4 linked regions of the Rhinolophus ferrumequinum genome follow. The protein of the gene in region 2 interacts with the protein of the main gene of each other region in a pairwise test. Links are inferred from orthologs where the notes say so. Each region holds a gene or a part of one and is shown on either strand. Other genes may lie near its edges. The genes, in order: SENP2, KASH5, RNF146 and JAGN1.

The links.
Region 1: the proteins of KASH5 (region 2) and SENP2 interact in binary tests that used the Homo sapiens proteins (3 or more experiments, as listed by UniProt). The two-hybrid records come from large-scale screens. The link is inferred for Rhinolophus ferrumequinum from reciprocal best matches to the Homo sapiens genes KASH5 and SENP2.
Region 3: the proteins of KASH5 (region 2) and RNF146 interact in binary tests that used the Homo sapiens proteins (3 or more experiments, as listed by UniProt). The two-hybrid records come from large-scale screens. The link is inferred for Rhinolophus ferrumequinum from reciprocal best matches to the Homo sapiens genes KASH5 and RNF146.
Region 4: the proteins of KASH5 (region 2) and JAGN1 interact in binary tests that used the Homo sapiens proteins (3 or more experiments, as listed by UniProt). The two-hybrid records come from large-scale screens. The link is inferred for Rhinolophus ferrumequinum from reciprocal best matches to the Homo sapiens genes KASH5 and JAGN1.

What each region holds. Positions count from the first base shown.
Region 1 is NC_046285.1:59,833,725-59,840,949, reverse strand, and holds the start of SENP2 (sentrin-specific protease 2), read left to right. Parts: upstream 1-4,223; 5' UTR 4,224-4,436; coding exon 4,437-4,537; intron 4,538-6,169; coding exon 6,170-6,225; intron 6,226-7,225. UniProt on the Homo sapiens protein: Protease that catalyzes two essential functions in the SUMO pathway.
Region 2 is NC_046298.1:44,556,718-44,564,164, forward strand, and holds the start of KASH5 (protein KASH5), read left to right. Parts: upstream 1-4,440; 5' UTR 4,441-4,521; intron 4,522-6,673; 5' UTR 6,674-6,768; coding exon 6,769-6,811; intron 6,812-7,447. Other genes in the region: DKKL1 (dickkopf-like protein 1), read left to right, coding at 2,223-2,534. UniProt on the Homo sapiens protein: As a component of the LINC (LInker of Nucleoskeleton and Cytoskeleton) complex, involved in the connection between the nuclear lamina and the cytoskeleton.
Region 3 is NC_046286.1:75,588,614-75,595,602, forward strand, and holds the start of RNF146 (E3 ubiquitin-protein ligase RNF146), read left to right. Parts: upstream 1-3,976; 5' UTR 3,977-4,089; intron 4,090-4,126; exon of another isoform or gene 4,127-4,258; intron 4,259-6,209; exon of another isoform or gene 6,210-6,235; intron 6,236-6,989. UniProt on the Homo sapiens protein: E3 ubiquitin-protein ligase that specifically binds poly-ADP-ribosylated (PARsylated) proteins and mediates their ubiquitination and subsequent degradation. May regulate many important biological processes, such as cell survival and DNA damage response.
Region 4 is NC_046300.1:44,053,326-44,061,016, reverse strand, and holds JAGN1 (protein jagunal homolog 1), read left to right. Parts: upstream 1-4,669; 5' UTR 4,670-4,782; coding exon 4,783-4,871; intron 4,872-6,530; coding exon 6,531-6,993; 3' UTR 6,994-7,498; downstream 7,499-7,691. UniProt on the Homo sapiens protein: Endoplasmic reticulum transmembrane protein involved in vesicle-mediated transport, which is required for neutrophil function.

The sequences.
Region 1 (7,225 bases), on a different chromosome or scaffold from region 2:
TCCTAAGCCTTGGTCAGGAGAATTCTGCACCTTCGTCAGACAACCCTTTCCTGGAGCATGCACACAGAGTTGTCTGTGCGAGGAGCAAATCTATGGACAAATCCACCCCTATAATTTGGAAGGTCTATTGTTGTGACTTCTGCCTTGGGCTCCCATTTGGAAACATCGTGAACCACTTGAGGGTGAAGGGGACCAAAAGTTTTCCCTTTTGGGATATTGAGTTTTAATCTGCTTATTAAGAAATGACTCAGAAAATAAAAAAAAAAGAAATGACTCAGAAAGAAACTTTGACCCTCCATCTTCTCCTGCCTAAGAGATTCAGAGGGAAAGACCCACTCCAGTAAGGAAGTCATAGGATGTTCCCCTTAGCAGCCTAATTTAAATTGAGTGTGGTGGATGGGAAGGTGTAAAACAGGGGCTGTTTACTAGATTATCCCATCTCATTGTTTCTGGATTGCCTAGCAAACATTTACCTGCCTTGTATGTTCCACTCTTCCTCAACTACCTGTGACTCATGCATTCGCACTTTTGAAATCTCAGACGCTACTCACTCTTTTTATCCTTTGTCCAAAATGACATATATACCTAATCTCACCTCACTGTCTTTGGAATTTGAATGTTTCTGTGAATTCCCCATGTACGTGTATTAAAAATTTAATTTTCTTCTGTTAATCTGTCTCTGGTTATTTGATTATTAGCCCAGCTAGAAAAATTTAGAAAGTGGGAGGGAAGTATTATTTTTTCAACCCCTACAAGGGGTTCCTGCTGTCTAAATCAGCAGGGTCTTTCTCATCTGGTGGCATCCTTCTCTTCTGGTTGCACCTCTGTGTTGGCTGGTCACCAAGATAACTGCCTCTCTCTTTTCATAGTACTCCCTAGGGCTATCCAAAGTAAATTTTAGGGTCGCCCCATATTTAAGTCAGACCACTCCCCAAACCTTCTAGAATTTGGTGGAAATCACCCCAGTCAATTTTAGTGATTCAGTAACAGAAACCAGAAATTTAATTTATAAATTTACTTTTCTTACTGAATAAGAACAACAATATAAATTTGCCTTCCTTAACAACAACAAAAGGCAACAAAACAACAACAACAACAAAAAGGATGAAAAAAGAGAGATCACTCTGAAAATAGCACAGAAGAGGGACTGGGTAGAAAAGGAGGTAACTATTGCAATGGTGTGGGAAATAACCAGGCCCTGAATGATAGCATTCCTTTGGCTTTGGAGAAGGGAAGGAAGGGAGCAGGTCTGTGGGAAATGTAGGATGCAGAACCGGCAAGTTAAATGATTTATTAGATATGAGAAGTAAGGAGGGGGAAGGAAACATGAAGAATTTAGCTATGCTGGGCCTTCACATATGTAAACACATTTCATCAGCCCATAAATCTGAGAGGCAGGTTTGATTAACTCTATTTTACAGATTAGGAAACTAGTTTAGGTAGGGTCTGGTGCTATTATTTCTCCTCACGAGGCAGGCCAAGCCACTTGTAGTCAATGTGAGCATATTTTATAATAAAATCTAGGACAAGAAAAACTGCACTTGCTTTTGGATAATAAGGCCAAGGTTATTATTAGATTGAATAAGATCAAAATTATGTTATTAGGAGGACACATTTTTCTTGAGTAGCAAAGAAGTTGGTCTCCAGAAGAAAACGAATCTTCAGGGTGGTGAATGATGTTAGATTTTAGGTATGTTAAGATGAAACCAAGAACATCTCACTTGTGGCCTCCTTCCCACTTCCATCAAATGGCTCGGAACTCTATTCAGGGGTCAGCCAAAACAAAGTTGAAAGGAAATCTTTTAACACTCTGAGGAAAATGGTAAAGTGAAAACTTGTAAGACTAAAGAATGGATTGGAGAACTGGGTCTTCATTGTTCTGTGGAGGGGAGGTACCAGTTAGAGGAAGAGGGGCTGGGCCTTGGAAAGGCTTGAAAGAGAGGATCTAACCTAGAAACAGACAGACGTCTTTTCAGAAAACTGGGGCAACCATTTAAGATACCTACTGAAAACTTAAGCGATGAGCTTGTGGCCCTGTGGTGGTACAAGGATGCAAGTTATCCAAACCAGGGGCAGAAATATCAATGTCCTTGTTACTTCATTTGGCTTTGGGATTCAACTCTGGCCCCCGGTGGGGTTTCTGGGTCCGGGAATGGCTGTGGCAGTGGTGGGGTTAAGGATAATCCCACTTTTTGACCAATGGATGGGCAGTGCCTGATGCCTCTACTGTGGATGACAGGGCAGCGAAGGCATCAATGGGCAGACAGGTCCCAGGCAGGAGCGACCGTAAGGCTGAGTCCCCTTCTTTTCTCCATTTCAGAGGTCAACTGGAGACAGTAGAACGACACAAAACGAGTGCAAGTATTCAGGGGGTGGGGGTGGCGGCTGACACACTCATGAGTTACTATTTGCTGATGAGGCCCAGGTATTTAGACTGAGGTCTGTAATTCCAAAGCCCTCCCACTTTTAATGGTGGGTGATTGACATGTCAGTATTGGGTATGTGCAGGTGCTATAGCTGAGGTAGGAAAAGAAAAAATGAAACATGTGGTGTCGTACTAGAGTACTTTGAGACTTGATGCTAATATTTCTTAAATCTCGGTGGTCAGAACCTGGGAGTTGATATTCTACAGCAGCTTATAGTTTTATGATTTATTTTTTGAATGGAGACTGCTTTTGTGTTTTGGGGACTCTTTTCCCAATACTTGAGTGATGTTCTTGGTTTGGCAAAAGCAAGGACCAGCTCTCATAATGGAGTGGACAGTTGGGACACAGCAGAATTGCTCTGCATAGTAATATCAATGTTAGTCTTAGATTAACAGAATCACCTGAAATGGGTTGGGTTAGAGGTGGAGGGGGATTCTTTTGTTGAGAAGAGTGTAGCGATGACCTGGGGTGGGGGAGCCAGGGAAGAGTCCTTTTGGGAAGCAATGGGCTATAGATGCTATACTTAAAATAGCCACTTCTAAATCTTATTTGAGGCTTTGCAATTCCCCTATTACAGTATTCCCAAACTTCCAGTAACATCCTGGTGTTGGCTGTGCTTTGGGGAATTAAGAGAGGGGCTATGTCCACATTTAGGATTTGTTTCCACCCTCTAGGAACTGCCTGCCCCCACACCCACGCCCGAAGCCAGAGTGGTGGTAGCCATAGGTGGGTAGCTGGTGGTTTTGGAGCTCTAGGGGATGGCTTGCAGCAGAATTCTGGAACATTGCTGTACTGGAGAGTGCCTATGTTGAAGTTTAAGCAAATCTGGAAGTCTGGCCTTAATTTAATCATAAGTAAGGATCAAGTGCAGTCAAGGACGGATTTGTGGGGCATGAAAATCTTTGAATATTCCCAGAATTGTTTGGGAGTGGGACGGGATTTTCTATCAGTAAGTAGGGTAGGACTTTTTCTGTTGTTGATAATTAACCAGAAATGTGACTTCTAGATACCAGAAATGTGATGAAGGTATCTGTGGCTTACTTGTACCTACTAGTCTCCCCCTGGGCTGGCAACACTCCCTGCCAGCCCACAGGGAGACTAGTAGGTAGTAGTGAGCCACAGGTACCTTTTCATTCTTAAGCTTCTGTAAAGCCATCCTGGAGTTCTGCCCTTCCCTTCCCTCAGCGTGTGGGTTTCTTTTCTCGGGCTCCTACTGCACTTTGTACACACCTTTATCACAGCAGCCAGTTATCTCGTAATTTGTCTCTGTCAGTAGATCTTAAGGGAGGGATTGGCGCTGGTTCTCAGATCCCGGTTCAAATTCCAGCTATGGCACTAGCTAGCTTAGTGACATTAATCAAATAACGTAATCGCTCTATGCCTCGATTTCCTTATTTATTAAAAATGGGACAAGACTCTCTCCATTGCTTGCGGTTGGGAGAAACGAAGGTGACAATGAATGTCAAGTGCAAGGCAGAAGCAAAATAAAGGGCTCCTCGTATAGTAAACATTTGTTAATTAACCTAACTTACTTTTATTTTGTGTACTTAAACATTTACTGTATTTCAGTCCCGGGGCGCTCCCTCCCAGGAGGAGAAGCTTCACGTGTAGCCTGTGGGCCTTGTCCCGCGGGCCGGCTCAGGATTGGGTCCGCCGAAAAGAAAACCCCGCCCACAGCCCTTTCGCTCTCGTCCAGGATTGGACCACTACCGTCCTGCCGGCATTCTGGTTGCTAGGTTCGGAAGTGGGGGGCGTGTTAAGTTGCGCGTGCGCAGGTTGAGGAGGAAGGTGCTTTCCGGTCGGGTAGGAGGAGGTGACGTCAAGAACGGTTGCTCGCGGGAGCCTCCGGTAGCCCTGGGGACGTTGTATCTGTGGGCCTTCGGATCGCGTCACAAGTCGGCGACTGAACCTTAGCTGTGGTGGCTGAGGCGGCGAAGGCGGCAGCGGCGGCGACAGCTCTGGGGTTTGTGTCTCGGGGTGTGTCGGCCGCCGCTGCTGCTTGGGCCTGGTATGTACAAATGGCTGGTTAGGATCCTCGGCACCATTTTCCGCTTCTGTGACCGGCCGGTGCCCCCTGCCCGGGCCCCCCTGAAGAGGCGGCGCTCGAACAGGTGAGAGGAGAGGGGGCTGAGTGCGGGCCTGTGTGCCCCCCTCCCCCACCCCGGGCTCGGCCGCGATGGCGCTGAGCCAGCCGGGCAGGCCCCGCTCGGCCGAAACGCGTCACTGGGCCGAGGCGGCAGGCGTGCGGGTCGCGGGTTGCCTGGTGACGTAGTCGCTTCCTCCACCCTGTGTGGATGCGGCTCTTCCTGATGGAAAGAGCTAGTTGCCTTCGGAGCGGCCGGTGATGGTTAGGATCTTGGATATTCTTGTCCGAGTCCACGCTGTTTCCTGTCATCGAATGGGTATCATTTGTTGCCGCTCTTAGATTGCAACCGAAAAATGTGTTTTGGCTCACTGTTTACAAAGCACCCTCCCAAGTGTCATCTGTGGGCAATGAGTGCAGTTGAGATTGATATCTTGCCCAAAGCCGTTTGACTGCAAGTACTGTTCCCTTAGCACCGAAACAGCAGCTGTCTTGTTCTGAAACAGCTGTCAAACTGTGTGTGTGTGTGTGTGTGTGTGTGTGTGTGTGTGTTGGGAGAGAGGGAGGGAGAGTGGTTCTGTGCTTTAGAATTAGGGTATGAGAAAAAAAATAGGCACCTAATTCTTTTAAAAACATCACTAGTCTGTACTCTAAAATTCGGTTAAAATTTGGGGCAAACTAAAAGCTCTTCTTACTTAGCATGTACCCATTGGCTTGTCCCATTTCATAGTGAATACCCCCTTGCCTAGAATTAATCTAGAGAATAAAATATCATACCAATTCTATACACCTCCCAACTTTTAGTGATCAAGTGTTAATTTCATTATTTTACTAAACCTCCCTATCAGGGAAAGGTGGGTGTTTGCAGTTTGAGAGAATAAGATAATTAATACACGGGTCTGAGAATGCAGGTCATTGATGAAATTGACTGTTGGCTAAATTCCATTATGTGTTCCCAAGAGGGTAAGGTTTCAACTTGTTCTTCCTTTCCACCTTTCTGTAGGGTTGATATAAGGATCATTTGAGAACATGTTGTAAAGTGCCTAGAATGATGCTTAATACTATATATGAGAAGGGTAGTTGTTTATTCTACCCTGAGGGCCTCCTGCAAAGGTTGGTGTATGATAGGCACTTGGTACATATTTACAGGCACTTGGTACATATTCACTGAATAAGGGAATGTTAATTTGTTCTGCCCTGTTCTCTTTTTGCTACAAATCCCTGCTAGTCAGGGAGACAGTAGTTTGGAGGTAAAAAAAATCCTGTTCTTTACCACACATCATTGATCTAAAAACAATGCTTCTCAGTGTGAGCCATTTTTCCAGTCAAAATGAAGCCAGGAGTTCTCGTTGGGATGTTCAAAATAATGAACTCAGTGGTATTCTCCTGGGATTTATTCTGTTCACTTTTTTTGGTAAATATCATCAGTTGTAATCATCTTTAGAAAGGTGATTAGTAGTGTACCATGACCCTTTAACATTGTAGAAGTATAGGTCCAATAACTTTCTGAATTTTTAAATTCTTTATTACCACTGTAACATAGTTTCCATGTGAAAAAAATGCAGTTAAATATAACAGCTTTTCTGGTTAACTGTTAAGGCTTCTTATACGCGTATATATGCATTTATATATATATATATTTTTTTTCTCTTTTTTTTAGCACTGTGTTTTCTACAGTGGACACTGATGAGATACCAGCCAAAAGACCAAGACTAGGTATTGAATATTAATTTTAAAAATTCATTTTTTTTAGTAGGAAAAGTATATGCCTGGAATAAAATTTAAAAGGTAAAAAGTATATGCAATGAAAAGTCTTTCCTGTCCATTTTCTGCTCAGTTATCTTTTCTGGAGGTAACCATTGTTACCAGGGAATTAAGTATCTTTTCAGATAGATAAGCCTATATGTAGAACATACATTTTAAAATTCTTAATCTTCCTATAAAGAAAAGGTGGTTTTTAAATTTGAGGAGAAGACATTGTAAAAACTACTTCAAACAGAGTCACCCAGTCAAACAGCTGAATGAACCAATCTAATATGTTGCCTCAGATTGTTTACTTCCCTATAATCTGAAGGGCTAGACATAGCTTGGTAGAAGAGAATCAAATTAGATTAACGGGAAAAGGAATACAATGGAATACTATAATAATATTCTTTCTCAGAAATGCATGTGAATTTAGATTTACCTCTAGATGTGGTCATTAAGAGTGAACAAATCTGTATTAAGATTTCATTTAAATCCAATGAGTACTTACTGAGTGTCCTTATTGCTAAGTAGTGTCTTAGGTTCTACAGGAAATAGAAAAATGAGTAAGACAAGATCTCTATATTATTAAAGACCTTATAATTATAGGGGTATATGATTATCTGGGGGGGATATAAGACAAGCACATAAATAATACCAATGTCAGTGAGGATATAAAAATGAAATAAGAAAAGTTGTAACAAAATACTGTCCAATTTTCAGCTGGTTAAGAGTTTCAGTGAATATTTGAAGGAGCTAGTATGTAAGACGGGTCTTGAAGGATGAATAGGATATCAACAGAGAACAATAGGAAGGAAAAACTTTCTAGGTAGAGGGAATAGTATTGGAAAATTATGCAATTCAGGAAATAATGAACAGAACTCAGGAAAAAAATTGGCAAAAGAGAGGTCAGATTATGGAGGATTTTGAATGTCAGGAATATCCAAATTCATTAGGACAGTATTTTCCGAAG
Region 2 (7,447 bases):
CCTCTCTCTGGGCCTCAGTTTTGTCGTCTGTCAAAAGGGACTAACCAGCTCTCAGTAATGAGGTATACAACCTTAGAGTACATCCCTCCACTCGCTTAGTAAACCCCAGAGGGTTTTGTAAACCAAGAAGTGCTTTTAATTCCAAGTGCTTGGTGCACTTCACCCTCACAAACCTCAAAGTGTTTTTATCTCAAAATACTCTGCAAACCTTTAAATATTTTTTTAATCTATCCCAAAGTGGTAAATCTCCCCCTTGTAAACTTCAAAATGTGATTTTTAATTCCAAAGTGCTTTATGAACCCCAAATGCTTTGTGTCTCTCACCTTCGTAAACCTTTCAGTGACTCTAACCCCAAAGTGCTTGCTTTTTTATCCTAAAAATTTTTAAGAACTGCCAAGTGCTTGACAAACCCATATGGTTCACACACACACACACACACACACACACACACACATACACACCCCGTTTTTTATTTTTTAAATTTCAAATCTACAGAAAAGTTGGGGGAAAAATGTACTATAAGCATATCTGTATTCTCTTTTTCACGGAGCAGGGTTTCTCAACCTTGGCACCATTGTCATTTGTGGGCTGGATAATATTTGTTTTATTTGTACATGGGGCCATCCTTTGCACTGTCAAATGTTTAGCAGCATCCCTGCTTCTCCCCATTAGAGGGAAGTACCACCCCCACCCTGGCCAGTTGTTACAACCAAAAATGTCTCCAGACTTTGGTTGAGAACCACTGGCCTCGCTTCACCACTTGTTAGCATTTTACCACACTTACTTTATTTTTACTTTTGTATTTTTGAACCATATGACAATAAGCTATTGACAACCTGACACTTCACCCCTAAATCCTTCAGCAGATATCTCCTAAGAAGAATGCCTTCTCCCACATGACCACAGTACCATTTTTACACCCAAGAAGTTTAATATCGATGTCAAGCTATTATCTCTGTATTTGTTTGGGAGGGCTGCTATCACAAAGTACCACACAGACTGGGTGGCTTAAATAACAGGAACTTTTTGTCTCATGGTTCTAGAAGCTACGTGTCCAAGATCAAAGTCAGCTCCTTGTGAGAGCTGTGAGGGCGGGTCCTTCTCCTACCGTGTAGTGTTTTGCTCACAGTCCTTGGGGACCCTTTGTGTGTAGATGCATCGCCTCCATCTCTGCTTCATCTTCATGACGTTCTCCCTGTCTGCGCTTCTGTGTCCAAATTTCCCCTGTGCATAAGGACACCAGCCATACTAGATTAGAAGCCACCCTGATGACCTCATCCTAACTAATTAAATCTGTAATGACACTATTTCCAAATACCCTGTTTCCCTGAAAATAAGACCTAGCTGGGCCATCAGCTCTAATGTGTCTTTTGGAGCAAAAATTAATATAGGACCCGGTATTATATTTATTATATTATATTAAGACCCGGTCTTATAGTAAAATAAGACTGGGTCTTACTATAATTTTTGCTCCAAAAGACGCATTAGAGTTGATGGTCTGGCTAGGTCTTATTTTTAGGGAAATACGATAAAATCACAGTTTGAGGTCCTGGGGGTTAGAAATTCAACATATGAATGGGGAGAGGCACAGTTCAACCTATAAGAATCTCCTACAGGACTTCTCAGACCTCAACTTATTAAAATGCAGACTCTGATTCAGTAGGTCTGAGTGGGCTGCAGCCCATAATTTACATATATAACAAGCTCTCAGATGACACTGGTCCACAGCCCACACTTTGAGCAGCAAGGACCAAACAGACCATATTCAAATATCCCTACTGGCCCCAAAGCTCTCTGTAAGGCTGATTTGATTTTGGACCAGGATTCAATCAAGGAGCACATGTAGCAATTGTGGTTATGCTTCTTTAGTAAAGCCAAGAGCTTTTAATCCCGAAGTGCTTTGTACATTTCAAACTGCTTTCCAAACCTCAGAGTATGTTTAATCCTGAAGTGCTTTGTAATCCCAACCGGCATTTTAAACCCCAAAGTGCTTTTGAAACCTCCAAAGCATTTTTTTCAATCCCAAAGTAGTCCATAAACCTCAGAGTATTTTTGAATCCAAAAGCGCTTATTAATCCAAGTGCTTTGTAAACTGCAAACTGAGTTTTTAACTCCCAAAATGGCCTGTAGGTGACAAAGTGAATGGAATATGCCAGTGGGGTCTGAGCATCCTGAGGTTGTCATTTAGAGTTTGAGAGGGTCTCCTTGTCCCTCTTTCCCAGGTACCCAAGACAGAGGACAAGGAAGCCCTGGTGCCTGTCCCAAAGGCCATGGACAGCTTCCACCCGGAGCCCCATTCCCGAGTGGCCTTCTGGATCATGAAGCTGCCACAACGAAGGTCCCACCAAGGTGCCCAGGAGGGTGGCCACTGGCTCAGCGAGAAGCGACACCGCCTGCAGGCCATCCGGGACGGGCTCCGTGAAGGGACCCGAGAAGACGTCCTTGAAGAGGGGACCCAAGGTTCCTCCCACTCCAAGTTGCCTGCCCGAAACACCCACTTCCTATACATTCTCAGGCCCTCCCAGCAGCTATAGGGGTGGGAACAGGGGAACACCTGCATATACCCCCACTAGACCCTACCCCAAGGATCATATGGAAATAAAGTTTCTTCTTACAGCTAGCTGCACTGTCTCCTTTCAGGATATGTCTCCAAACCTCAGCCGACCAGGCCATCACAAGTTTCGACAATAAAAAGATAACTAGACAGTCATAAAATGTTTGGAAATGAAGCAATATACCACTAAAATAATGCGCAGGTCAAATTAGTAAATATTTTGAACTGAATAATAATGGAAAGGTGGCATAAACTTGTGGAATATAGCTCAAGAATGTCTCAGCAAATTATGGCCTTAAATGCATATATTACAAAGATTAAATATCAATAATCTAAAAATATCACTGATCTAAGCACTCAAGACAGCTATAAAAGTTTAATTGAGCTATAACTTAAGATTTAGCACTTTATGTATGTTACCATTACACTATAAACTTCTTAAAAAAAATTTTCAGGGATTACAAAATTACCCAGACCTCAAAAAAGGAAGAAACAAGAAATATGGAAGGAATAAACTGACATAATACCATTATACTAATAAATTATGTTAATAAAATTAATGGGGTCCACCACATGCCAGCCTGTGCTAAGAAAACACTTGGCAAACATTCTTATTGAACTCTCGTAAGACATCATGAGGTGGATATTTTTTGTCCCCATTTTAGAGAAGAAGCTGATATTTAGAAATGTGAAGTCGCTTGCCAAAGTCACACAGCAATGGCACTAGGTTTGTCCGATTCAATATCTCTTTTAACCACTCACCACGTCACCTGCCAAACAGGATTTTTCCCGGGCCTTGTAACAAGCCACCATTAATAGCCAAAATAATAACTATCAATTATTAATAACAAGGATTACCACCTTAAGTCCTCAAGGTGACCTAAGAAGCAATTATCTTCATTTCTGGAAGGAAAACAGGCTTAGAGAGGGTAAACCATTGTACCAAGGTCACAGCTAGAAAGTGGTGGAGCCAAAATTCAAACCTAAGAATATCTGACTCCAGGCCCACCACCTTGTCATCACGCTACACTGCCCAGTACTTAAGAGGCATGGATTCAGTCCCTTCAACTTTTTCTTTTGTTTAGCGTCCACACCAAGCCAGGCATGTTCTAGCCCCAAAACAGTCTCCTACTGCACACAGGTCACATTCCAGTGGGGGTGACAGTAGACAAATATAGAATATGTCACGTTTTGAGACGTTCCATGAGGACCACTAAAAAGTGGATAGTGTGGGCTAGCAGAGAGGTTGAGTGGGTGGGACCGCGTTTGTCCCAAATGCTCTTCCTTGGGAGGATCTTCAATTTTGGATGTAATTCTCTTCCTCTCTCCAGCCAGAAAAGCGAGAATATTTTCTCCGCACTCTCTCCTAAAAGGAGTAAATGAAACAGTTTGGGGAAGAATCCTTCGGGGACTTATTAATACATCTTAACTGGAGCTACAAAAGGGCGCGGGAGTGGTGAGGCAGGACAGGACAAGACATCATTGTGATGGTGAGGGGCAGACTGTCATGTCACGGAACAGATGGCATCACGAGCACGGCTTAGTAGCTGATAAGAAGTGGGGATGAACAAGGGGTCTCTCAAGCCAATTCTCCCTTGCTTGGGCCTATTTCACCGAATCTTGGGGCCGCAGAGAAGACCCCAGCACAGGGGACGTAGCCGCCTCCTCCCTTAATCCTGCCAGCCTTCACCTGCTTGGCCAACACGCATGCGCCCGCTCCACGGGTCTGGGCGCGCGCTGGGGAAGTCCTACGCATGCGCAACTTCGCAGTTGCAGGTACCGGCCCAACTAGCGCGCCCCTTCCTCCGATGTGCGCCTGCGCTGAGGGAGGGGCCCAGACGCGCAGGGGTTTAGACGTCAAGCGCGCTCTCGGTCCCGCCCCCTCCCTTTGCTTTTCCGGTGGGAATAGCGCGCTGGCACCTTTTCCTGGGCAACTGCCGTTCGTCGTCCGTGGCCCTCGGCCTCAGGTGCGCTCTGACTGTAGCGAGGTTCCCCAGATTAGCTCTGTCAAAACCCCTCCCGAAATCCTGGCAAAGCCCCCAAATTATAGGGCAGGGTCCCCAGTATCAGGGGTCTCCTTAAAAGTCCTGAAATCCTGACTAAATCCCCTCAGAAATACTGAAAGGAAGCTACCAGGAGATCTTATAGAAGATCCTCGAAATTTTGTCAGAATCTTCTAGAAATTCTGTCAGTCTTCTCCCTCAGTCTTCTCCCTGCCCTAGACCTCCCCAAAATCCCGTTACGCTCCCTCCCCAAATCCTATCAAACCCCCCAAGTCCAGAAATCTTGTGGAACCCACAAAAATTGTTAGATTCCCCCTCTCAAATATCCGAGACCTGAAATCCACTCATACATCCCCCAGAAAGCTCGTCAGATTCCCCAGAAATCCAGAAACTCAGAGATCCAGTGGGAGATCCTCTTGAAAACCAGTCAGAGACCCAGAAATCCAGTCAGAGACTCCCTAAGTTCCAGATCCCCCTTCAAAAGCCCCAGAATTCCTGCCTGGGTCCTCCTGCTAGAATCTCCCGCTCAGAGGCCCCTGAGGTTGACCAGAGCATCTTAGTCCCTCACCAGGAGTGTGTCCCCCACACCCTGTCAGAAGCTCCCAGTGCCTCTCAGCACCCTCAAAGGGACCCTTCTCCACTCAGGCCCCAGGGCCATCCACCCCCTTCTGCGCGCCCCAGCAGTATCCAAACCCTGGAAGGGTCTCGTTTCAAAGACCGTTTTTTCTAGGATGTTCTAAACGTCGCCAGGAAGTGTGCCCTCCACAGCAGTGGACCCATCTGGCGCCCGGGGAGCAGGGTGTGGGGAGTAGGTGGTGAGGACAGGAGGGCTGAGCAGGTGGGATGAGGACGGGCAGGTCCCCGGCCGCCCTGTGTTGACCGTTTGCCCCAGCGTACTCAAGTGTGATGGGCACTATTGTCCAGTGTAATTATTAAATCGCACCCCTTTCACTCTTGAAAGTATCCTGGAGTTGGGGCAAGAAGTCTTATGGTCAACCTGGTTATAATGGAGGCAGGACAGGACACGGTTGGGGCACAGAGGAGGGAATCCCTAATTGCTCCGAGGACTCCGGAAGCCTCCCCAGGGAACTGGGGGCCAAAGCAGGGGCCACAAGTGGAGACGGTGTGTGTGGTATGTTCTGGGCCTGGGAGGACCATGGGAAGATGCTAAATGCCCACGGTCGGGATGAGGGCGAGGGGCCTGGAGGTCAGCCAGTGGAGAGAAAAGTGATTTAAAAAATAAAAAGCAAGGAGTTGCAGGGACTATTCTGTGCCACACTAGCCAGAGGAGCTAGGCCTTAGTGCTGAGGGCACTAGGGAGCCATGGGAGGGCTGCGAACAGGGGAGCGATGGGCTCAAACTCGCGTCAGAGGCCGACAGTTCCAAATACGGGCTGACAGTAGCCCCGGGCAGTGAGGGACCCCACAGACAAATGTTCAGAAACATTTCCCAGAGGAGGGGACTTGCGAGCTGAGACAGGAAGGACTGGGAAGTAGGGTGTTCCAGAGGTGGGAACAGGGAGCCTGGCTTGGGGAGCAGCGCACAGTTCAGAGTTGCTGGAGCAGCAAGTGTGGTTTGGGGTAGAGAGGCAGGCGGGGCCAGGCCATGCCGGGCCTTCGCCAGGTCCAGGGTCGAGGCTTTGTCCCTGGGATGCTAGGGAGCCATGGAAGAGTATTGAACAGGGGAGGGGCAGGTCAGCTCTGGGGCCCGGTGGGGATGGACAAAAGTGGGAGACTGGAGGCTGGGAGGCCAGAAAGCAGGCTGGCATGAGGGCCCGGGGAAGAGGGCGAGGCCTGAGCCAGGGCCCTAGGAAAGGAGAGGAGGGGACGGGGTAGAGTCATTGGGGTGGAGGGACAGGGCTGGGGACTTGACAAGCTGTGGAGAGGAGGCAGTGACCCCCACTCATTAGGCCCCCTTTGATCTGTGCCACTCACTCCTCCAGCCCCCCTTTGCCAGCCCCCACCGCCAATCCATTAAGTAGGTCTGAGCCAGAGCTGCTGTGATGGAGGCAGGGGTGGGCAAACAGGTTCTGAGAGCCCAGAGCAGCCTGGGGCACAGGTGGGTCCCCAACTTGGGGTGGCTGGTCTGAGGAGGTCATTCCCCTGCTCTCCTCCAGGAGCTCTCCAGGCAGCTGGTCCGTTTTCCGTCCTTCCCAGTGATGGAGGGAGGCTGTTAGCATCAGCAGCAGCTGCAGAGCGAGGAGGGTGTCCCATGGACCTGCCAGAGAGCCTGGAAGGCAGCCCTGCTACAAAAAGTAGGTGGCTGGGCCCCCGTTTGCCCCGTGGGAGGATGCGGGAGCCGTGGGTGAAGAGGCGCCAGGCTGTGACTTGGAAGAAGTGGCTTGGGGTGGCTGAGGCTCCGCCTTGGTGCAGGGTAGGAGGGAAGGAACCTGCTGTGTGCCTACCTGTCTGGCCCCTTGTCCCCTTTCCTCTGAGGAGGCCAGAGCAGAAGCCTGTGCCTGTTGTGTCCCCTGCCTGGAGCACCCTTTCCCGGTGACCCACGGGCTCACCCGTCTTCATTCAGCTCTCATCTCTCTGTAGCGCAGCTGCCCTGTCACTCTCTCCTCTTTCCCGCTTTACATCTCTTCATAGCACTGACACTGGTTTGTCTGGCTGTTCAGTCTCCGTCTCCCCCACTAGAGCAGGAGCTCCACCAGGCAGCTATTTATTCACTCTGGTCTTTCCAGTTCTCAGAGCAGCACTGTCTGACGCACGAGCTGTATATGTAATTTTAAATTTTGTTAACAGGCACATTTAAAAGAAAAAAGAAACAGGCAAAATGTATGGCAATAATAGTTTTGATTTAACCTAAAGTAGAAAGGTAGTATCCTTTCAGCGTATAATCAGTATAAACATGTATTGGAGATATTCTCTTTTTTCTTACAAGTCTT
Region 3 (6,989 bases), on a different chromosome or scaffold from region 2:
TTTTATGCTTTGCAAATCTCTTTAATGCCTGGCTTAAGAAACATAGGCAAATTCTAATATCTGCATCTACATTCAATATGTTTCTACATCACATATCATGTAGCCTTAGGTAAACTCCACTGTATGCTGGAGAGAGAGAATGAGAGTGTATTAGGCAGCTAGCATCTTAATAGTATTATTGAAATAATCTTCACGTCTGGGACCCTCTGAAAGGATCTCAAGGACCCCAGAGAACACTAGAAAACATTTTGAAAAGCACTGCCCTAGATGACATGTATCAATGGTTTTCAGTACATTTTCCACTATACCACGTATGATTTTCTCATGCACATTTTCATGGATGTCTCCAGATATTAACAAAACAAAAAGAATATTTTGATCATTAAGCAAAATAAATAACATCAAACATTTTTGAGTGTTGAGAGAATACAGAGAAAAGGGGTGCCTGGAGATAGATGTGTGGTATTCATGAAAGCATTTTATACACTTGCGGGAAACAGACATTAGGTTATGAAAGATGAGCAATTCCTAGCAGTCTGTTGCAACTCCTTTATCTTTGATTCAGTGAAGCAAAATAGAATGCCAGTGACAGTAACATTATTACAGACATACCTTAAATTTTTTAGGCTCTGATTTCTTTAAGTAAATCATTTGAAAGTTTGGGCATTTTAAAAATTATTGAAACCAATTACTTTAAAAACACTTCTGACAATGTTGAGAAGTGCTGTCCTATATTATTCATAGATAAAAACTCATCAGTATCTTTCAGGTGGCTGGCGGAGGTGGGGTGCATACTACTGCATATATAACAAGAAGTTATATATGCAGTAGTATGCCTTGACACATAACAAGAAGTTTTTCTTCATTTATATATTATTTGGTATATAAATGTGTGTGCACATATTCAGAGGGAGCTTGTCTAAATGTGTCAGGCGCTATTCTTGGCAGTTGGGATACAAAATAGAATACAAATCCCTGCCCTTGAGTGATTTGTGTTCTAGTGTAGAGAGATATATAAGATGAATAAGCAAACTAAATGATCCCTTACATTTCGATAAGTATTAGAGAGAAAAAGTAAAGGGAGGAATAAGAAATATCTGGACTAGGAGAGGTCATAATTTAAAATAGGGTGGCAAGTAGAGGACTGAGAGAAAAGATGACTTTTGAGCACAAACAGAGGGAGGAAGCCATGATGGCGAAGAAAGTTCTAAGCACAGGAAACTGCAAAAACTGAGGTTGAGACCTTGTGTAGAGTGTTCTTGGATCACTAAGCTGAGTGAGCAGTTTGTGAGGTCAAGGAGGTAATAAGGGGAGTCTTAAAGCTATTAAGGACTTTGGTTTTTACTTTGTTTTGGGAAGCCATGGGAGACTTTGAGTAGAGGGGTCGTGTAATCTGACTTCCTTTTTAATAAGTTTACTTTGGCCTCTGTATTGGGAATAAACTCAAAGGAAAGGGAGGACAGAAGCAAGACAACCAGGCTTTGGGCTATGGCAATAATCCAAACAAGAGATGCTGTTGTTTGTAATAGAGGTGGTCAATAGTTAGATTCTGGGTGTGTTTTGAAGGAAGAGCCAACAGATTATTTGCAAAATGGATACTGGACATAAACAAAAGGAATTAAAAATGGGTTTGGATAAGGAAAGATGGAGCTATTTATTGAAATGACCACGATTATGGGTGTGGCTGAGAGGGTTGGAAGCCTGGTAGGGCATTTTAGTGGGATTCCTGTTGATTAATTCATTTCTTGCTTTCAGATGGATAGGTAGATAAACATAATCTAAATTATATTATTTTAGTGAAACTTCTAAAATACGTGCCTAGAACAACTGAAGAACTGTGAATAACTTTTCCTAAATTAAAAGTATTTATGGATCAGGAAGCATACCTGTGTTCTGATCCCGGTTCTATCTTCAACAAGAAAAGATTATAAGCAAGTCATTTAATTTGTTATACCTATTTATTAATTGATAAAATGAAGAATTGAACAAGGTGAATTCTTACAGTCCCTGTCTGGATTTAAATCCCAGCTGAGCCTATTTCTGTAAAATGGGAATAACAACAGTACCTACCTCACTGTTTATTATGAGCTCATACATGTAAAGCACTTAAAACAATGCCTTGCACATTGTTAGTTAATAGTAGTATTATCTCGTAGAGCTGGAATCTTCAAGTACGTATCAAATTTTTGGTAGTATCTTCATGGGGTGTGTAAGATAGTGGGGTAAAACTGGATGGCTAAGGAGAGCATAAAGATAGGGGATTAAGTTTAAAGATGGGGAATATATGGTTCAATATTTAAAGAATTTATAAATATTTATTCAATATTTATATAATTGAATAATTATTCAATATTTAAAGAATTTAAAGAATTTTATACCACATTTAAAGAATTTATAAAAATGTTGCTTTTACTTACCTGAGTAAAATCATCACTGAGCTAGATAGCATTCTTCAAAAATTGGTTACATTTATATGTGTGTGTACACACACACACACACACACACACACAGACATGAAGGGTCTGACAATTAAGTCCGAGAATTTGTTGCAATGATGTTGCAAACCTTTTTTGATACCAGAGGGATTATTCATTATGAATTCATACAAACTGGACAGTTAACCAAGTTTACTATTTGGAAGTGCTGAAAAGGCTGCGTGAAAAAGTCAGACGACCTAAACTTTTCACCAACAATTCAAGGCTCTTGCATCTCGACAATGCACCAGGTCACATGGCGCTGTCTGTGAGGGAGATTTTAGCAAGTAGACAAATAACTGCATTGGAACACCTCTGACCCCCAATGACTTCTTTCTTTACCCAAAGATAAAGGAAATATTTAAAGAAAGACATTTTGATGACATTCAGGACATCAAGGGTAATAGGACGACAACTCTGATGGGCATTCCAGAAAAAGAGTTCCAAAATTGCTTTGAAGGGTGGATTATGCCCTGGTGTCACTGGGCATAACTTCCCAAGGGGAGTACTTTAAAGATGACCGTAGTGATATTCAGCAATGAGGAATGCAGCACTTTTTCTAGGATGAGTTTGAGAACTTAATTGTCTGACCTAGTACATCTCTCTCTCTATATATATATATATAGACACACACACACACACACACACACACACACACGTTGATTTCAGAGGAATAAAAGAAAATGTACACATTTCTATATATAAGAACACTGAAACCTTCCAGCCTTGAATAAACAGTTAATGAGATCTCAAATGCAATAGCATTGCCAGTAAAAAGATACTGGCCTGGAATGTTGAAATTTACTCACATATACTCTTTTAAAAGACAAAAGCGTGCTTTTCCGCCCTGTTCATTTTACAACAAATGAAGAAAATACAGTCAGTTTCGAAAAAGATAATGTATATGCTGAAATGAAATGGAGGATACTGCCTAGATTTTGATGTTTAAAACCACAGGCATGCAACAAAATAAGCCATTTTCTTTAGTTTTAGATTCTTATACTGATTAATCTCTTCCTCCAGCTTCCTATGCCTAAGACAAATGGCCCAAAACAAAAATTAAGATTCTTTTTTTTTTTTCGATTGAATTACTCAACCATCCAGACGGTGAATAAACTGGAACGTCCTAGAGGACCTTTTTTTGAAAGAGAACAAGGAGTACTTCGCCAAGAGCTCTTCAACCCCAAATCCAGCTAGGTCTGGAAGCTGGGTTTCTGAGCAGCCCCATCTGCTGGTCCTGTGCGTGTCTTACTTCCTTGGCCCCAAATCTCTTTCTCTCTCTGTGGGACCCGTACTTTCAGTCTTTATACCCAGTTACAACTAAAGCAAAATATAAAGCAGTTAGAAGAATCCAGGTAACGAAACTATAGCTCCCCAAAGGCAGGAAAAGGCAGGCAACCGGCACCACGATTTAACGGCAGCGAGCGGGAGGGGAAGAGTGGGTAGGGAGGGGCTAGCGAGAGCTCCCGGGTGCGCGGTGCTGCTTCCGCCCCGCGCGGCCCCGCCCCCGCGACACGACGGGCGGTCACGTGACGGCCGCGCGCGTCCCCGGCCGCTGCGGGTTCCGAGGCCGACGAGAAAAGACTGCGAGGCCACCGCGGCTGTGGCCAGAGAGGTGGGAGTCGGGGCGAAGCCCTCGCGGGGGGCAGGGTGGAAGTCAGTCACTCCTGGTTCCTGACTCGGGAAGAGGAGCGATGGCCCTCGGTGTCACCTCCTGCCACAACGCGCTCCGGGTCAGCCCTGCGTTCTGGGCCTGAGAGGGGCGGCGGCGGGGCCAGGGGCCGGTACGTTGGTGGACGCCCTTGGGCCTGCCCGGCCGCGGTTGTCCGCCCCGGGGCGGGATGGGATGGGACCGCTCAGCCCTTCCCGCCGCCCCCACTGTGGCTGGTGTCGCAGGCAAGAAGACTGTGACGGGCTCTGCGTTGCCGGCTACCGCCGCAGCCCCTGTCCTGGGCGACGGCCCGGAGCTGGTCACGGTCAGGGTGCGAGAGGCGGAGCAGCGGCCATTACTGCGCAGCCTCTTCCGCCGGGGTCCTCGTCGCTACCTTTGGTGGCAGCCAGATCCATCTCTTCTCCTCTCGGCCGTGGTGTCAGGCCTCTACCCGGGAACCTTCTGGCCTCAACACTTAGGGGCGGCGATGGTTTTGGGGGGTATCCTGCTTCCTATTTCCCTTGTGGAGGCCTCTATCCGGGCCTTGGTTTAAATCTCATCCAGGGTGTACAGTCCCTGCATTTTGTCTTTTTCCGGAGTGTCTTTGACTGCTTCTTTCTCTTCCTTCTCCCCTACGCCCTGCTCAGGGTCTGGGTCTTGCCTTATACGAAGAGTAGTTCCACCACTTGGTCTTAGTTAAACCCTGCGCTGCGTATCAGAGTCGTTTTGATGGTTATTAAAGCATCCGAACAATTAAGAGATCTCTAAATACCCTTTGAGCCTCCAACACCCCAGCGCATCTTAAAGCCGAGGCTGTTGCTTTGTTCTTCTGGTTGTTGGGTGCGCAGTTCTCTCCCTACCCCTCATCCCGTCGGAAAGAGTACGGGTCTTCCATTGTTGTTGCTATTTTATTTTCCACCGGCGTCTAGAGAAACGGTGCAAAATTGTTTTGAGTTGACACACACATTCTGGCAACTAGATTTTTTTTCCCCCTGTATTACCCGTTTTCGTATATATTTTTATTTCTTTTCCCAAGTACTATTTTAGTGAGTATTTATTTCTTAAGTTTCGATGGTATACCTACATTTTGTTTAAGTAATATTTTTGAATTGTTGAAACGAATTGAGGGGAGAAGAAGCCAAGAAATGATAGAAAACGCTTTGTCTTTGTATGATTGACATTTCAGGCTCTTCCCCCACCCCATGTTCTTACTTTGTAAATAGTATGTGAAAGTATAACATTGGCATTGAAAGCAGTATATAATTAGAGAAATTGGAAGACTTTTTTTTAAAAAAAAAATAAATCTATATTTAGATTTTTAAAAGACTGTGGTATCTAGGACGCATGAAGAAAATGACCCCACACACAGGATTTATGATACCGGCTTTGATGTTTTTGTGACCAGCAAATACCGTTTGTGATAAGTGCCTGGATGTTTTAAAAACACATGAAAATAGGTCAGGTAAATCTCATTTTAAAGAGAAAACCAGAAGAGTGAAAGCCACTCTAGAAATAGATTTTGAATATGTTTGTTTTAGCTGTGTATATCTTAAATTGGGACATTTTGTTAAGCCCGATTATTGATTTAGAATTTATGTTTCAAATGAGCCAATGTGAGTTGTGGGCAAAATGAAAATAATGGTAGACATTTTTAGGTTTTTTTGTTATTTACTGGTTGTTAAGAAAAAATTGGATAGAATTATAATCATCAGGAAAACTATATTTCCAAAGAGCTGGTCATTAGACAAGAGGAAGGAAAAAAATGGTGTTTTTTCTTTGAGGAGACATTTGTCAACTGGTAAAATATTTTGTTTCAGTTTACACCAACTTGAATTGTAAGAAGAATTGGGCAGATTTTTTTTTTTAAAGGATCCAAAAACCATCTGACTTAGAAGAAAAAGGAAGTATTACATTTTTTCACAATATTGATCTGTTTAGACAATATTATTTTATGTATTAGCCATTTACTATCATGAAATGTCTGATACACTGTCAGTTGGATATTTTAATGCTTTTTTTTTTCCAGTGTTAGTAACAAGCTGCTGAGCCTTTTCCTGGCTTCTGATTGTGCCTAAGGAACCAACTGGATGGATTAGGAACAATTTTGTGGGTATGGAAACCACCTTACTAACGTTCTGCTGCAACCACTTGTGCTTATTTATGGACTACTTAGTGTATATTACCTTTTGGGTTAATTAAAACAAAACCTGTTGTTAAATGACTGTTAATTAAAATATTTATAATTTAGAATTATAGAAGTGTAGAATAGGGTGAAAGAACTAAGACGTGAATGGGAGTTATGACTTGACCGAGGTCACGCAGATAATTATCAGCAGAGCCTTTCTTATTTACGAAATGACTGCAGACTATGAAACTTGTGTTTGATATGATTAAAAGATTATATTTGTTCACATTCACATTTCATGTTTTGTTAAACTAAAATGCAAAGCCCACAATTTTGGGGGCGAAATTTAAAGGTTTAATGCTTGAGTATGAAGATTATGAAGGCCATAGATTGCCATCCAGTAATGTCTTTTAAGGGAAGTGCTTGCTATACAGTAAGGGGAATAATTATTTAAAATAAAGCATTGGACCCCATTTAGTTGAAATGAGTTTTTATGGAAGGCTTTTGTTTCCCAGTATGCCCTGTGCTTTCTAAGTGGAATTTTAACAGGGCATGAGAAGGAAAGCTAAAAATGAAAACATTAGGGCATTTACTTACATTACAGCTCTCAATTTGGGACTCTTTCTTAAGAAATACTAAAATGTATCTGCTAAATTACAGCCAATCTCTCTATTCTTTCTTTTACCAGCCATTGCTTTTATTTTGGGAGGTGTTTGTATATCAAAAGTTGTAAGGTTTG
Region 4 (7,691 bases), on a different chromosome or scaffold from region 2:
ATAATAAAATTAAAGGGCTTTTCAACAGAGACATTTAATTGATACAAGAGAAATTGGTGTTATTGATAATATAATTATTTAATAATAGCAGAGACTAAAACTAGCTGAAATGTGTAGTGTGAAGAGGGTAAGATCGTATGACCCAGCAATTCTAGTGCTAGATAGATAGAAAGATAGGTAGATTTCCAAGAGAGATAAAAACATACGTCCACACAAAAACTTATACACAAATGTCCGTAGCAATAATAATAATAGCCAAAAGATAGAAACAACCCAAATGTTCATCGATTGATGAATGGATTAAAAAATGTGGTATAACCATAAATTGAATGCTATTTGTCAGTAAAAAGGGTACATGCTACTACAAGAATGAACTTTGAAAACATTCTGCAAAGTGAAAGAAGCCAGTCACAAAAGATCACATGTATATTTTTATGATTCCACTTGTAAGAAATGTCCAGAATAGGCAAAATTATAAAGCCAGAAAATAAGTTAGTGATTGCTTAGGGCTGGTGCTGGGGGGTGGGAGAGGAATGGGGAGTGCTAATGGGTCCAGGCTTTCCTTCAGATGAGACAAAATGTTGTAATCCATTAATCTAATCACAATTTATTTTGGCAATAATTGCACAACTCTGTAAACATATTAAAAATAATTGAATTGGACATTTGAGTGCAAGAATTGTATGTGAATCATATCTCAATAATGTTTTTTTAAAAATAAATTTTATTGGGGAATATTGGGGAACAGTGTGTTTCTCCAGGGCCCAGCAGCTCCAAGTCGTTGTCATTCAATCTAACTGTGGAGGGCACAGCTCAGCTCCAAGTCCAGATGCCGTTTTCAATCTTTAGTTGCAGGGGGCGCAGCCCACCATCCCATGTGGGAATTGAACCTGCAATCTTGTTGTTAAGAGCGCCCACTCTAACCAACTGAGCCATCTGGCCTCTCCTCCAGAAGCTCAGCGGCAGCTCATTGTTTTCAATCTAGTTGTGGAGAGCACAGCTCACTGGCCCATGTGGGAATCGAACTGGCAACCCTGTTGTTCAGAGCTCGAGCTCTAACCAACTGAGGCATGACCACCCTTTTTTTTTTTTCTTTAATGTGGTTTGCAAAAAGAGTCCAAGCTCATCTTTCTGTTAGCAGAGAGTTTTTCACACTAGTGCATCAGAATCACCTGGAGAGCTTGTTAAAGTTCAGATTGCTGGGCTCCACCCCAGAGGCTCTGACTTGGTATACCAGGGGTAGGACCTACGAAAGTGTATTTCTAACAGATTCCTACATGGTCCTGAAGCTGCAGCTACTTAGGGACCCCACTTTGAAAACCAGCAGTCTAGCACTAAACTGTGATGTAACTCCTCTAAGCTTCAGTGGGATCTGACAAATGGGAATTAAAAATAGGTTGTCATGAAGATTAAATGAGATAATCATGAAATGTACTTGCTATAGAACTTAGTACATTCTTCAGGTTCAAGAAATAGTTACTATTACTATCATCACCATCATCATTATTATTTAGATCTAAATCCTTCCCTGGAGGAGCTCCCAAGCAACCATCATGCATTCATTAATCAAATATTTATTAGTTGCTATGTGCCAGCCCTCCTGGGGCAGAGAATACAGCAGGAAACAAGACAGCCTTGTCTTACAGTTCAATGAGCTGACATTCTTGAAGGAGGGGGACCTCTTACCATGAACAAATATGCAAATAAAATAATTTCAGATAATGATGTTCTGGAAAGAAAACAAAACACAGTGATATGATAGCAAATGACTGGAGAGCTAGATTGGCCTTGAATTTAGGAAAGTGTGAGGGGAGGGGAGCTTTCAGCTAAATCCTGACTGGTGAGAAGGCAGTCTTTTGAAGTCCTGGAGTGCATTAGTCCATTTGGGCTGCTATAGCAGAATACCATAGTCTGGCAGCTTATAAACAAGAGAAATTTATTTCTCACAGCTCTGGAACCTGGCAAGTCCAAGATCAATAGGCCAGCAGATTTGGTCTGATGAGGGCCCACTTTCTGGTTCGTGATGGAGGGGCAAGGGAATCTCTTCCATAATACCACCTCCCAAAAACCCCACCTCCAAATACCATCACAATGGGGATTAGGTTTCGACATATGTATTACGGGGTGAGGGTGGGGGCACAAACATTCAGTTTACAGCATTCTGCCTGGGCTTGACCGCCAGTCTTTTGAAGTCCTGGAGGAGAAGAAACATTCAAGGCAAAGGAAACATCATTGCAAAGGATTTGAGAAGGGAATGAGCAGGGTGAAGAGACAGGAACACAAATCACTAAAATTTAAGGCAGACCAAGACCCAGTAGAAAAGTACATATAAACAAATACTTTGGGGAGAAAGTTCTAGTGAAAGAGTTTCGGCCCCTCCCTTGGACATTCATGCCTCAAACATTTATTGACTGTTCATCATGTGCTTGGTGTCCCATGATCGGCGAATGGATGACTCACAAGCAGTCTTGCCCTGAAGAACACCTGGTGCATCATGAGCCGCAGACTCAATGAAGACAAAGATAACTACAAGCCAAAGCCGGAGAATATCTGTTGGAGGGGTGGGGGTGGGGGTGGGAGGGAGAATGGCTTCATGAACCTGAGGATTCTTCAGGTGTGTAGGAGAAGTGGATAGTTTTGTCTCAGTTGGAATTTTTTTATTCAACAAGCATTTCTTGAGCTTTTACACTATGCCAGGCATAGTGGGCTGCTGGGGACACACATGATTTGGCTCTTATCCCTCTTAGAAAAGATCATATTCCAGGGGGGAGGCAGATGTCTGCACGTGGTTCTCCAACTCAAAAGTGCAGAAAAATCATTTGAGACACCTTGGAGTGGAGAAGGACTCTGGCTACTACTCAAAATTGAGAAGTCCAAAAAAGAAAAAATTATACATTCAACTACATTACAAAAAATATTCTGCATGTTAAACTTGTAATACTATGAGTAAAGTCAAAATACGTGCAATAAATAGGAAAAATACATTGCAACGAATATAGACAAGAGGCCAATCTCCTGTCTCTCTCTCCCTCTCTCCCTCCCTCCCTCCTCTCTTCTGTCTTCTCCCTCTTCTATCTGTATGTGAATTGAAACGACCAACAGTAGAAAAGTGGGCAAAGAACATGAACACAGTTCAGGGAAATGAAATTCAAATGACCTGTAAACATATAAAAAGATGCTTTTTTCAGATAATTTTAAATTTTATGTGTTTAATTTTTAAATTGTGGTAAAATGTACATAACATAAAATTAACCATTTAAAAAAAGTTTATTGGGATGACAATTGTTAGTAAAGTTACATAGGTAAATTAACCATTTTTTAAGTTTAGTGACATTAAGTATTTTCACACTTTGTGCCACCATCACCCCATTCATCTCCCGAACTTTTTTCGTCTTCCTTTTCATCTCTGTACCCATTAAACAACTCCTCATTCCCTTTTCCCCAAGGCCTTGGCAACCACCATTCAACTTTCTGCCTCTATACAATTTATTTTTCTTTAATGGCACTGACATTTTTAAAAAGTACAGTCCAGTTATTTTGAGTTATCTGTCATCTCTTCATGATTAGATCCAGGTCTTTGGCAGGAATATCTCAGAGTATCAGGAGGCACGAGGTGTCATTAGTGTTAGGTCTCTGAATGTTGGTCTCAGAGTCCTCGACTTATAGGCAGAGCCACGTCTGCAAGAAAATAACAAAATGTCTGTTGGCCTGCACCTGAGACAGAGCCAAACTTGAGATAACAGAAAACGCCACAAAACAGCTACTGACTACAGGCAGTCAGCATTTTCTGTTCTAACAATGTACGCTGTCAGCATAACCCCTATAAAATCCTCCTCACCCTCTCCCTCCGGGCTGCAATCTCCTCTAGATTCAGCCCCGGGCTATAGCCATCTTTTGCTCAGCCCTATAGATTTTTCTCTCTTACGATAAAAATTTTCTTAATTCGCCTGACCATGTATATTCCTTAATCTGCCGACCTATCAATTAGTGGTCAAGTTAACTTTTTAAAAATTGTTTAATGTGTGTGTGTGTGTGTGTATGTTTTGTTGGGGAATATTGGGGAACAGTGTGTTTCTCCAGGGCCCATCAGCTCCAAGTTGTTGTCCTTCAATGTGGTTGTGGAGGGCGCAGTTCAGCTCCAGGTCCAGTCGCAGTTTTCAATCTTTAGTTGCAGGGGGCGCAGCCCACCATCCCATGTGGGAATTGAACCAGCAACCTTGTCGTTGAGAGCTCCCGCTCTAACCAGCTGAGCCATCAGGCCACCCATCGTCAAGTTAACCTTGATTACTTTGTTGAGGGGGTGCACACCAGGTTTCTCCACTGCAATCTTACCCTATTCTCTTTGCAGCGATTATGTAACCCATGGGGCGATTCTTTGAGACTGTGTGATACATGTTCTTAGGAAAGTCACAGAACCCTGCCAAACTGTGAAATGGGGACAACGGCATCTTAAACTCATATTAGAATTTAAGAACGTGAAAGTGCTCGAGTAGCGAGAGAATCCGCTACAGGTAGAAGGCAAACAGATGCCAGCGCTGGGGGTGGAAGGGGCGGGGCGGGGTTAATTTCCGGCACGTTCCACTAGAGGGGCGGCCCCAGCGGGTCGAGAAAAAGACCGCGCGCGTAAGCGTGCGCATGCGTGTAGGGGGGCAGTGACCATAGAGTCGGTCCTCCAGAGACAGAAAGGCCGGAAGTTCTCACATTGTAAGACTGTTGGGGTGGCGGAGCTGAGGGGGTGCGAACGGTATCTGCAGGTGGCAGAGGGTCCGTGTGACTCGGCCAATGGCGTCTCGGGCAGGCCCGCGAGCTGCCGGCACTGACGGCAGCGACTTTCAGCACCGGGAGCGCGTCGCCAAGCACTACCAGATGAGGTATGAAATGAGGCGATGCGCTCAGAGGCCTTCTCCCCAGTCGGAGCCTGCAGGGCCTGGAAAGCAACGTCCCCCGCCCCACATACCCCCGGCCTTAAGCTCTTACTCTCTAGCCAGTCCCGGATTCACCTGGCAAGTCCCCTCCTCCCGCGACGGCCCTCGGCCTGTCCCCAATCCTGGGAAGCCCTGTCGCTCCGATAGACTCCACCTCTTGATCCGCCCTGTGACTTGAGGGGGTCCAGACCCGCCTGGGCTCCAGTCACGGCGATGCTGTCCCCGCTGTGTGACCTCGGGGACATAATTTTTAATTGAACCTCAGTTTTCTCACCCGCAAATGGAAAAAAGTAATACACCTTTTAGGGTTGGGTGAAGAATTAATGAGCTAATAATTTGTATAAAGGACGTAGCAAAAGATCCAGCACATAATACGAGTCTGCCCAATACATGATGAGTGTTCCATTTCGGACTCTTTTGGGGAATGAGCGTCGTAAAGGCCAGCCTTTCCCTACCTAAAATGAATTTTATAAACACCCTCACATAAGGAGTATTTCTACATTAGTTTATTCAGTCAACAAATACGTATTTATTGCGTTTCTACCCATCATACATTTTGTGCTAGGCACTGAGGATATGATAGTGAGCAAAAGCAGACGTGGTCTTTGTAGGCATGTTATACCTTCAATAAAGAAGCTTATTAACAACAAACGAAAAGGTCCCTGGCTTAATGAATCTTGAAGTCTAGAGGTGACTGATTTTTTTCCCCTACATTTCCGCACTTTCTATAATGAGTATTTTAAAAATAAAAAAAATATTTAAAGATTTTCTTTCCTTAAATCCATTGAACTCTTCCAGAATGTTTTTTGCATCTTTCTCGCCAGATTTTTAAAGAATGACAAGCTCTTTGGACCCTGACTTTTATCTTAAAAATCCTTGCCTAAGGATACCTCACAACCCAAGTGTTTTCATGCCTGCCTAGAGCAGAAACTGCCCTCTGGGATGTGAAAAGGATACATTTAGGACCTGTGAGAGTTGGAAGAATAAGAAATGCATACTCCTTTAGATGAAAAATCAACACTAGCTGGAGAAGTATGAGCAGCATGAGCTGGTTTTCTCCCTGCCAATACCTCCTTCCTCTAGGCTATACTCCTGCGGTGCAAAGTCATCTTTCTAAATACTCCTCTGAGTTACTTTGGCCTTTAAACTGACACTTTGTAGTCTTTGCAACTTCATATCCCACTTCTCCCCTCCCTTCTAAGATTCCTGTCATACCCCACCATAGGCTCTCCTGGGACACAAATGTCTATCCGAGCCTTCTTGCTTGCATGCAGTTACCTCTGCTTTGAATGCCCATCTCCACCCGCCCCACAGAGCCTTGCTCAAGTGTCACCCTCCTCTAGATAGCCTTCTCAGACATCGCTTCCCAAGCAGAATTGATTACTGCTTCCTGTCATCACATGTGACTTGCAATGTATGTTAACTAGAGCTCTTCAGTTTGTTTTCTAATTATTTTTCTTCCTGTGTTCCTTGTGCCCAGCCTCTAGGTAGGAACTATATTTTATTCCCATTTCTATCTCATTGTCCAGTATACTTGCCTGACATATAGTTGGTGGTCAGCACATTTTGAATGCAAGGCACTTCTCCCTCTGCTCTGCCCCACAGTGTGACCCTCAAGTATGAAATCAAGAAGCTGATCTACGTGCATCTGGTCTTATGGCTGTTGCTGGTTGCCAAGATGAGCGTGGGACACCTGAGGCTCTTGTCACATGATCAAGTGGCCATGCCCTATCAGTGGGAGTACCCGTATTTGCTGAGCATCCTGCCCTCGCTCTTGGGCCTCCTCTCCTTCCCCCGCAACAACATCAGCTACCTGGTGCTCTCCATGATCAGCACGGGGCTCTTTTCCATCGCCCCCCTCATTTATGGCAGCATGGAGATGTTCCCTGCTGCCCAGCAGCTCTACCGCCATGGCAAGGCCTACCGCTTCCTCTTCGGTTTTTCTGCTGTCTCCGTCATGTACCTGGTGTTGGTGCTGGCCGTCCAAGTACACGCCTGGCAGTTATACTACAGCAAGAAGCTCCTAGACTCTTGGTTCACCAGCACACAAGAGAAGAAGCGTAAATGAAGCCTGCCAGATGGACTGATTGCTGGGGCGAAGCCTGGGCCTCCCACCGAGCGGAGTGAGACGGGAGAGGAGCTGTCCTAAAATCTCCTTTGGTGATTTTGGCAGCCGTGATATTGGCAACTAGTGCAAACGAGGCCCGAGTTCTGGAAAGCTCCACCTGTTGTCATCAGCTGAGGTGGCAAAACTGTATTTAACTTATTCCTGAATGGCTGGAACTGGGTGATGAATAGCTGTAAGACAAACTTCAGCTAGTTGAAGTTGAGGCCCTTCAGGGTTTTTCTTTTAAGACCGAGCCTCTTCCTCGCCCCTTTTTGGTCATTCTCTCCACTTCCATCCATTACCCCTTAGGCACTGAGATGGAAGGAAATAGCGAATAAGCTAAATTCTTCAATCTGTGGGTCATTGGGCAGGAAGCATTTAGGAGGCTACTTCCTCTGCAGGCTGTGGTTTCTACTGTGAAGCATTTTAATTTAAAAAACCTCAATAAAGTCATAACTGCCCTGTCCACCCTGTGCCTTGTGTTTGGGCTTTAACAGAGAATGAATGATGCGTTGCTTGAGTGGCATTAGACACTAGGAGATAGGTGGGAGCTTCCTGAGAAACCTGGCGGTGGCCATAGAGAAGTGAACGGTGTAAGGAACTTAAGTCATGGTGGCCACTCTGTAGCTGATTGGCAGGACGCGCCATACATTTCATCT